Linked DNA regions of Drosophila melanogaster. The protein of the gene in region 2 interacts with the protein of the main gene of each other region in a biochemical or structural test. Each region holds a gene or a part of one and is shown on either strand. Other genes may lie near its edges.

The links.
Region 1: the proteins of dpr21 (region 2) and DIP-beta form a complex in vitro, tested with the Drosophila melanogaster proteins (one study listed by BioGRID).

The regions. Positions count from the first base shown.
Region 1 is NC_004354.4:21,454,500-21,459,715, reverse strand, and holds the start of DIP-beta (Dpr-interacting protein beta), read left to right. Parts: upstream 1-1,977; 5' UTR 1,978-2,165; exon of another isoform or gene 2,166-2,250; intron 2,251-5,216.
Region 2 is NT_033778.4:3,064,683-3,069,764, reverse strand, and holds the start of dpr21 (defective proboscis extension response 21), read right to left. Parts: upstream 3,267-5,082; 5' UTR 3,179-3,266; coding exon 3,139-3,178; intron 3,089-3,138; coding exon 2,883-3,088; intron 1-2,882.

The DNA.
Region 1 (5,216 bases), on a different chromosome or scaffold from region 2:
CCTAGAATACCAAAAACGTTTTATGAGCGCACAAGAAGATCTTGGTGTGAAAAACTGGATCTACACCGATGGTTCTAAAGTCACCGGCGCAACTACTTTTGCGGTCGTTGACTCTAACCGTAAAATAATTGCAGGAGGTAGGCTTCCGTCCTACAACTCCATATTTACAGCCGAAGCTTTCGCCATTCTCAAAGCATGCCAATTCGCTTCCAAAAACGCTGGAAAATCTGTTATCTGCACAGACAGCCTCTCCTCTCTTTCCGCTATACGCAACTGGAACCATAATGACCCCACAACACAAGAAGTTAGGCACATTCTAAGTTCTCACCCAAAAAAAATCACCTTACTCTGGGTTCCCAGTCATCAAGGTATTCATGGGAATGAACTTGCTGACAAAGCCGCCCAAGAGATGAGGCTTACACCATCAATCCTGTTCACTCCGTTTAACTCCAAGGACCTAAAAAGTCGAATCAAGTTATACCTCAAAGAAAGGAAACTCTCCGAATGGGCACTCTTCATGCACAGGTACCAGTCTATCAATCCGAATTGCATCATGTTCAAGCCACCAACGAACGTACATAAACGGGAATGCGCGACCTTTATCCGTCTACGCATCGGGCACACCCAATCCACACATCAACACTTACTGACGAGATCGGCGCGACCAACATGCCAACTATGCGGGGACGAGCTCACCGTTGACCATATTCTCAACGCCTGCAGTCAATTGCACTCAATTAGATCTCACTTATTTGGTACACATAGTCTCTCGAATTGTTTAAGTATCCCATCCTGTGAAAATATCTCAAAAATTTACAAATTTGTCCAAAAAGCTAAGTTTATTATATAAAGCAATTAACCCATAAGTCTCGAGTCGAAGGCCCCCGTAGCTAGTACTCATTAAATTTAATTAGGTTTAGTATTGTATACTATATTTAATTTTGTTAAATAAATAAATAAAATAAGATGATGTGCTCAAAACAAGTTTTGTTACCTAACCTAGCTAAGAAACAATGCAATCTGGAGTCGTTGACAAGTATGTATGTAACAGAAGCAGAAGGAAGTGTATAAAAACTAGTGACTAGTCTTACAAGTTATCTTCAAACGTTATAGTTACAGTTGTCGTTAATGTCTAGCTAAAATGTTCCTATTTTTTCAACAACAAAAACTGCCTTAATCGAACTATTGCAACCTATGTAAAGTAAATTAAGTAAAAGTTAAGTCTATTGAGACTTCTGCTTGCTTCCACCTTTCCATCTCCCTTGCACAGTCCTTAGGTGATTAATAAATATCCGATAGTCGCATTCATTAAAATCTTTTTTTGGAAATTTAATTAATATGTTTTAAAAAGTGATCAAGCAAAATAAAGATATATTTTCTAACGTTCGATTTATTTTCAATATGCTTTCGTCTTTCTTTGACTTTTCCTAATTTTTTGCACAAGGTAAGGCTTAAAATATCGTCAAAAGTCGGCTGATATAAATTCTATATGTATTCCAAAACAGCTAACAATGTTATATCCCATTTGAAAAATGATGAAAGCGAACAACCGAAAAACTAGCTCTTGGTAAAACATACAGCCTTTTATATTTCAGCAATTGGTTTCTGTATAACTTTAACTCGTTTTTCTTTTCTTTTAGAATGTTTTTCAACCAATAATAATCAACTGGGCAAAACTAACCACTTATGCAGATCTCTGCGTTTTAAGTTAAGGCAATTGCTCTAGTAAATTTACCAGCTTCTAAATGTTGCTGGCAACATGTTGCCAGAGGACAAGCACTGACGCCTTCGTCCGCCACACGAGCTCGTCCTTCGGAAGCATTTCGGCTGGCCTCGGGATGGCAGGCACGGGACACGGGACTCCACAGTGCCAGGACATCGGAAGTCGGGAAATTGGGAAATCGGGATGGCCGTGCTGCCGAAGGACGAGCACATTGCGCTGGGTCGGCCCAATGCGAAACGCGCTTGGTGCGACAGGTTCAGTGCTCGGGCAACTTCCTAGCGCGTCGGTTCAGTTCAGTCCAGTGGATTCGAGACACGAAAGGACTCAGTTTCAAACTAAAAATTCCAAAGTTTCGAAAACGGGTTTCGAGTGGCGCGAAACAACAACGATACAATGATACAATTACTCTAGCTGAAAGTCGAGAGAAGAGTTTTTGACAAGTGTTAGTTGATTATTTTCAAGTTTTTTTTTAGTGTTGGCCAGTGCTTTGGACTAGTTTCGAAGCTTTGCTTGTTTTTTCGAACAAGGTAATTCTAAGACCCAAAAATTCAAAAGTTTTTCGCGAAGCATACGATGTGAGCTGTGACTGCGTATTTAGAAATTACTACACTAGTGAGGTGAAGCCAATCCCTCGTTTAGTCCTTTACTCCATTGCCCGTCGATCGCTGCCTAAATCATTTCACATACGCTTGTTCACTCATTTGTCAATTGCATTATCGGTGGTATGTTAGCATTCCCTTTCTTTTCTCAGCCTTTCAACCAATTGTTACACCAATCGAGTTGTTTTCTTGCGAATTCTCTCGACTGTTCATGAGTGAATTCCTTTTCAGTTCATTGAATTTCTATGTCCTTTCCGTTTTCTAACATTAACTTTCTTTGTTTGCATTTATGTGAGTCACTCGTCACTCGTTGGAATCCTTTATTCTCGTTTCTTGTTTTCAGTAAATAAAACAGTTGATTTGCCAAGTTGCAAATTAACTTTTGCCAGTTTTTTTTCCCAAAAACAACTATCTTTATACCTTCGTGTGGGGAAAATGTAGTCACCTTTTATGGTCAAAATCATATCGTACATTTTGTCGCATACTAACGATTTGATAAATTGTTTAACATAATTATAAAACTGTCAGCTTGTGTTCTTTTCGTTTTTAATTGTTTGTAATTATATATTTTATATAATATGATAGCATACATTACACATTGCAAAAATTAAGTAAGGTTTTCAATATCTTTTTTAGTGGTTTGTAAGACGATCCGAATTCAATTTTATTTTAAATCCGGTATCCATGTATTGCTTTGAACCCTTTTTGTGTTTCTGATTTCCTTCAAGAACTTTCACCCACCTGAACTTTAAAACCCCATTCAATCTCTCGCTCATCCCTCGCCATCCGCCACCAGTTTGGCACATTCTTGAGGTACCTTTTCTGGAAGACTCCTCCGAAACTTTTTGCCATCGAACAAAAGGCGCCAAAATGAGACTGCAGCATCCAACTAGCAGGCCAAGTTTTTAGTTGGCAATGATTTATGTTTTATTAATATTAAAAGTGATTTATTAGCCATGAAATTTGTGAGCCAACTTGGTCGTTGGCCCTTATTCGACCAGGTGAAGGGAGTGCTGGCTGCATGCGCGATTTTTTAATTACAGATGGAGTGGGACAGGGAGTACTGTCCAGCTGCAGGCTCCATTATCCTTAAGCGCGGACCTGGCCGCTCATTATCCCGACGTCCGAACTTAAGCTAAACTGCTGCACAGCGAGATTAAAATTGTAAATGACAGCCAGCGTGACAGGACAAGGAAGGAGCAGGCATCTGCTCGTCCTTTAATGTCCTGCGCCGTCCAGCCACGCCCCTCTGCGCCCCTCTGCGACCCTGTTCGCAACCATCCGCTCCCCACCCACCAGCCGTCGCATTTTGTCGTGTTTTTAATGAAAATTAATTAATTAAATAACGTTTTTACTCATTCGCATCGCCTTGCCCAGCAATTGTCTTCCCTTGTGCGCAGGTGTGCGTGTGAGGATGCATTTTATATTAAATAATGAAGTGTGTAAAATGTATGCAGTGGCACACAAAAAGAGCAAAGAGGCAAATGAAAGGGCTTTATGCGGCAAATGTAAATTTGGACCTTTTTGGGCACAGGAAATCTCAAGCTTCAAAGTGCACAGAGAAAATTGTAAACGCAATTTTCCAAAATCTTTATTAATGGTTTTTTTTTGGGAAACTTTACTTTGGGAACGTAATTAATTTTATTATTGGTCTCGAATAATCAAAATTTATGTGCAACATTTTGTCATTATATTTGGGAACCCTTTTTGCAAAATGTATACAATGCATACTTCCGAAATACCTAATTTTTTTTGTTTGCCTGTCGAGAAATTCCCCGAAACTTCCCAAAGCCATTGCCAAATTTTGGCATCTCGGTCAACACAAAAAAAGTCATGCACTTCAGTTAGCATTAATTTGAAATTTGACTGAGACTCATCTCGATTCCATCTGGTTAACCGGAACCAAGGCAAGAAGCTTCGCGACTCCTTGTCCGCCGTGTCTAGTGGTTAATCAACTAATATCTTATAAAATCCGAATGGAATCCATCCGAATTCATAATAGAAAAGGGATCTTTGGTTTTGTGCTGCGTCTGGGAGATTGGAAATATTTCTCGATCTTTGTACTGAGCACAGAGGAATTGTGTGCGAGTTCTGCGCCTATGGAACTATTTGTATTGGTCTGAACTGACCCTGAACTGGCTCACATTGGAACCGAAATATATGATGATCTCCAAATTTAATTATCAGAAATGAATTTGAAACACTTCCACATATAAACTCAGTTACTTAGAGTAAACGTAGTCACTTAAAAGAACCTGAGTACTTAATTATAAATTTAAAAAAGGTTTTAAAATATTATTTTTCTAATTATCTTGCAAGCCCCTACAGAACGCCAAAGACATTTTTGCTTGGCGCCCATAAGCCTAGAACCTGTCTGCTTTTCAGATTCAGGCTTTAAATCTTGTTGAAGGTGGAGGGGAATATTTCATTATCACTATCCATTCACATGCCAAAAATTGTTTGCATCCACTCATTACAATGTTACCGTCAAAATAATGTATGCCACATCCTCCATTTACCTAGCCCTTAGGGGTATAATTAAAAATGAGTTCTAATTGAAACTGTAGTTTGCCCTCATAATACATTTACTTTTCAAGCTACTTTGTCTCCGATTCTGACGAACCTTTTGAGACTTTAAAAGGATATTTAAATGTCGGCTTATTGGGTCTAAGCGAAACAAGTTATGTACATATGAATAGATAAGTAGGTAGGTTATGTAACCAAACAATCGAAGCCCAGTGATAACAATAAATTCGAGTAAAATTTACTGCGACACTCCAAGTCGGATGCACTCTGCATTGTGTCCGGAATTGCGAAGCTCCGATTTCCATGTCGAAAGGAGCAAACTGACTGACGACGGGCTGCCTAGGGCATTTAATCGGCGCTATTTGGAA
Region 2 (5,082 bases):
TCCGTCTGTCGCTGGAGGTCGCCCGGGCGGCTACGTCAAACGCTGCTATTGTTGCTGCCCCCGCTGCTAACCCCGCTGAGCTTCATCCAAGCGAACTGTGGCCGAGGCCGAGCTCCTACCATCGAGCTCGGAGTCCGACTCAGGAAATGAGGATGAAGGAATGAGGATGTTCACCGACCGGCGAGGGAAGGCAGCCATCCTAGTGGATCATCAGGAAGCCTTCTATATGCCATTGGAAACCCTCACCACAGATTATGGCGTATGCCGGGTCGTTAAAGGAAGTTTTGGCTCAATCTTCATTAGAGCCGCATACTACCAGTTCAATGCAATTCTGGAACCGTACCTGTGGTAGATGGATGCGGACCTTCTGCAGGCCAGCAGAACCCCCGTAATCCGAATGCAGTGTCTCCATGTCGAGGGGCAAGCTAACTATAGACGGGGAGAGCTGCTGTCAGAGTGGATGCTTGAGGCAAGAGTCGCCGTGCTAAACCAGTCAACAGAGAAGTATACGTTCGATAATTACAGAGCTCGTAATTATAAAAACTATGAAATTTCGCGTTCGCACTCACACCAGCTGAGTAACGGCTATCTGATAGTCGGGGAGCTTGTCTAAAGCATTCTCACTTGTTTTTTTTTTATATTTTGCGCTTTTATATTTTGTGAGGAGCCATTCGGCTCCTCCATCCGCCTCCTACAGAACTCATCACGAAAAAGCGTGTGAGGAGTCTGAAAACTCCCCACAAATCCGGATGCAAAAAGCGCCAATGGCACAAAGGTCGAACGACAACGTTGCGGACTTTGGACATGGACATAGAAAACGCACCGTGAACTAACGTCACCGCGCTGGACCTTGGACTCGAGCTGGTCAAGGGCACAGAGGTCGACCGGTAACGGTGCATGCACAAAAAGGATGCACCGTGAACTAACGGTACAACTGTTGGACCTTGTACCCGAACGGGCCGTGCGCTAAAGGGGAAATAACGCGATCCCTGCGGGATACTATTGTCGAGGAGAGTAACGGCGCGAGCCGCGCATTCGGAACGGAGCCGGAAGGCGGAGGAGTAGAGAGTTAGTGACCAAGAACGCGCATGGAACGAATCACTAAGACAAAGAACCAGACTGCGCGTGGAAGGAGGTATTGTGGCAGCACGTGCAAGGATGGAGCTTGTGAATGAGAACGTGCAGAGAAGTCGGTAAAGAACAAACGAAGGAAGCGTCTGGCAGAAAGAGGCCGGCATAAGGAGCAAGGACCTGGCGTGTTTGGAAGGGTCAGTGGAGTCAGTGGTCGGCAAAGGTGGTCCCAGGCCGAGCATTGGCCGTGGTCAATACACCCTGTCCCATAACATCCTAATCCAATTCGACACACAGGACAAAGTAGGCAAAGCGTCGTAGGAGCAACGCCGCGCAGCAGACAGCGATCACCCGAGAAGTCAGTCCTTAATCTGAAACTCTGTCTTTTCCTTGGTCGCGCAATCACACAAATCATAAATTTGGTGGGACGAACTAAGAAAAACAGTTCGTTACAGCTTGTTAGCAGCGACAAACACTTTGTCGCCTTGGCTGTAAGAGATTGGGCACTGATCTTATGAGCCTAGGCCTTGCCTATATCCTATCAATCCTCTAACGTCCAGGACTTGTGTTTTGAAATTAGTGAAACATTGATAGTTAATTCTTTATATTATATAAATTATATTTTTTCATAATTTTATTACTGGTGTAAATTTCTATCGATTTGCCAAAAAGCTTTTTGCCACGCCCACTCTAAACCGCTAAAAAACTGCTTAAATTTTTCTTTGTTTTATTGTTTGTCTAACCAATTTAAATCTGTATAGCAAAAACACCGTGGCTACCCCCCTTTTTCACTAACAAATCGCCAAAAACGGTCACTCCCACACTTTTAAACAATTTAAATTTTTCTTTGTTTATTCCCCAATATCTATCGAAATATGATAAAAATTTGGGGTTCGCATTCACTCAGCTAGTGTGAGAGAACGTTATAGTCGAGTTCCTTGACTATCAGATACCCGTTACTCAGCTAGTGTAAATGCAAAGGCCAAATTTCATCACAATTCTGGGATATCGATAGATATTGGGGAATAAAATGAAAAAATTATTACAAATTGTTTAAAGTATGGGCGCGACCGGTTCCGCGCCTTTAGGGCGTGGGCGTGGCAAAAGGCTAATCTATAGAAATTTACAAGACTAATAAAATTATGATAAACATCGAAAATGGTTAAAAATGTGGGGGTGGCAGCGGTTGGGCGGCTGTAGGGCATTTTGCAAAGTTTGAGTTTCTGTATGCTGAAACTCAACCTTCTAGCTTTTATAGTTCTTGAGATCTCTACGTTCATACGGGCAGATGGACATGTATAGATCGACTAGCTATTGATCATAATAAGGAATATATATACTTTATATAGTCGGAAACGCTTCCCACTGCCTGTTACCTACTTTTTAACGAATCTAGTATTTCCTTTTACTCTACGAGTAACGGGTATAATTATTCGCTACGCAGAGCCATTCTCTTTGAAATAACTTAGCTAAATGATCGGTTAAACTCCTTTGCTTGATTCATATTCAAAAATACATACAAACTACCGTAATACCGTAAATACTGTAAGTATGAGACACAAAAACAAATACAACAAAATAGCCCAAAGGCATCGCTGAGGCCGGAAAGGTCAACGTGGAATCAAAGTAATGACAATTCGTAACATTCAAAAGAAATGGTAGGATATATAATTTAAAACTTATTCTTCTTTTTAAAACGCTTACGATAAAAAACATCTGTTCGCGTATAATACTTTCATATCCTTTAGACGGGTATAATCTAAAATATATAAGAGTACATCCGTGAACATAGGAAGAATACATGAGCTCACCGTTTTGTTTCCAAGATTTTTAATGCGACAATTTAGGTGTCCTGTTATGCCAACTAAGGATGTCACGTTTTTAGTAGCTGAAGTATCAAAGTAAGGGCCTCTATCCAGAACCCTTTTCATTGGAACAATATTTTCACTTATTAAATACAAGTCTGTCACGGTAACATTCTCTCTGAAATGTTGTGGGCAAGTTTCCTTTAAAATTACTAAGGAACTTATCATTTGTATGTTTCTTTACACATTTAAGTATACTTACAAATGCAAAGAAATATTCGAAAAGTTAAAAAAACTTTCATTTTTAATGATTTCAGTTTTCAAACATCATACACTAACTAACATACATTAGTTTAGTGGACTATTTCGTTTTTCCTTGAATTACTTTTCACATGCGCAAACGCATGCGCATTACTTAAAATACATTTTTAAAATATCTATAAAAATATTACAAGTTTTTCTCGGCAGCTATCCTTTCTTCTTAAGTTAATTATATTATTATATATATATATATATTATATACATATAATATATTATTAAATGTATATATATAAAATTATGTGTGAATAGATATGGTTACTATACTGGCAGGAGATGGCACTACAGGACAATTTGTAGCTCACTTGCAAGACACCGGAAATGCGTTAAGGCGTTCGTTCACTTTTAAAAACTGCGTAAAGAAACACTCTATATATGGATTGTTCACAAAAATACTGCAAAGGATTGCATATTGTTTTGAAAGGTACAAAAGCTGAAGTGACCCTCTCTGAAATCAGAGCGGGCGACACAAGAAATACGTTTGCGGAATATAATAAGATTAATAAAAATATAATAATAAGATAAGATAATTAGAGATTACTTAAATAGTACTTGTTTACGAATTGTGCCGTTGTATTTTTATCTTGGTATACTCGGCAAGATCATGAATGAGAAAGTCTCAGTGGTGGAGTAAGATATTTTTATACCCGTTACACATTTAAAAAATGTTTAGATTTTTCTTCGTTTAATTGTTTGTCTTGCCAATTTCTTTTGGTGTACCAAAAACACTTTGGCCACAACCTTCCTTACACCTAAAAAACGCCCAAAACGGTCGCGCCCACACTTGTAAACCATTTCTTAATTTTTTCTTATTTTATTCCCCAATATCAATCTATATCCCCGATATCCCAAACAAAAAATAAATTTTCACATTCGCATTCCCATTAGCTGAGTAAAGGGTATCTGATAGTCGAGAAACTCGATTATTTGTAATAATAGGCTCACTATAAGTCATTGGCTTATAGGAATTCTGTTCAATTTGGCTGGTCGATGTCTTTATACGATCAAAGCTTCCTTTGCATCTTTTCTTGGCAAATAAGTTTTTCAACCTTTTTCTCAATAACTGTTAAGCTATACCCACTAAATAGCGGAGTGGGAACTTTTAGGTCTTACAATTTTTCCAAATTAGGGGGGCGTTGGTCATTGTTGATCATATTGCTCAAAACAATTGAGAAAAATGCTAATATAACTTATATATATATAGTGAAATATGTAAGCTCAACCACATAAGATATATCTACAACATATACCAGCCACTTTATATATTCTTTTACTTAGCAACAATAGAAAATAGAAGAACGCCTTAGCACATAAGAAAAACAATTATTAGAACCCCAACTTCTTGGTGACAATAACATATTCGGCCGATGGAAACAATTTAACATAAACACAAACAGGGTGAAAACTGCTTACACAGCTTTAAGGGTCGAAACTTTCCACATAGCTCAAACTCGGCTGATCTGTATCCATGCGCATTCCACTCAAGAGAGCGCCTAATTAACGTAAACATAAATGAGAGCCTATGTACGCTCAATATGAAGAAGTAAATACTCAATACTCAGTAAATGCTCAACAAAGGGTTTGCTAAGCGTTCGCTTTGTAAATTAGACTTAGATTTTATTCATACTTCAATTGTGTAAGACGTGAATTTGTCTCCGACATTAGCTTAAGTTTTTGATCAATAAAAATACCTTTTTTTATAAACCAATAAACCGCGAAGTTGTAATTGGCGCAGTCGGTAGGATCTGCGTGTGAACATAATCTCTTAGAGCTAATAGATTAGTTCGAGATTAATAAAGCGCAGCTCGTGGCGAACAAAGTTTCGTTTGTGCTTCAGTTTATACAAAGCAGATCCGCAAAAGAACTTATGTGGCAAAATAATTGTGAA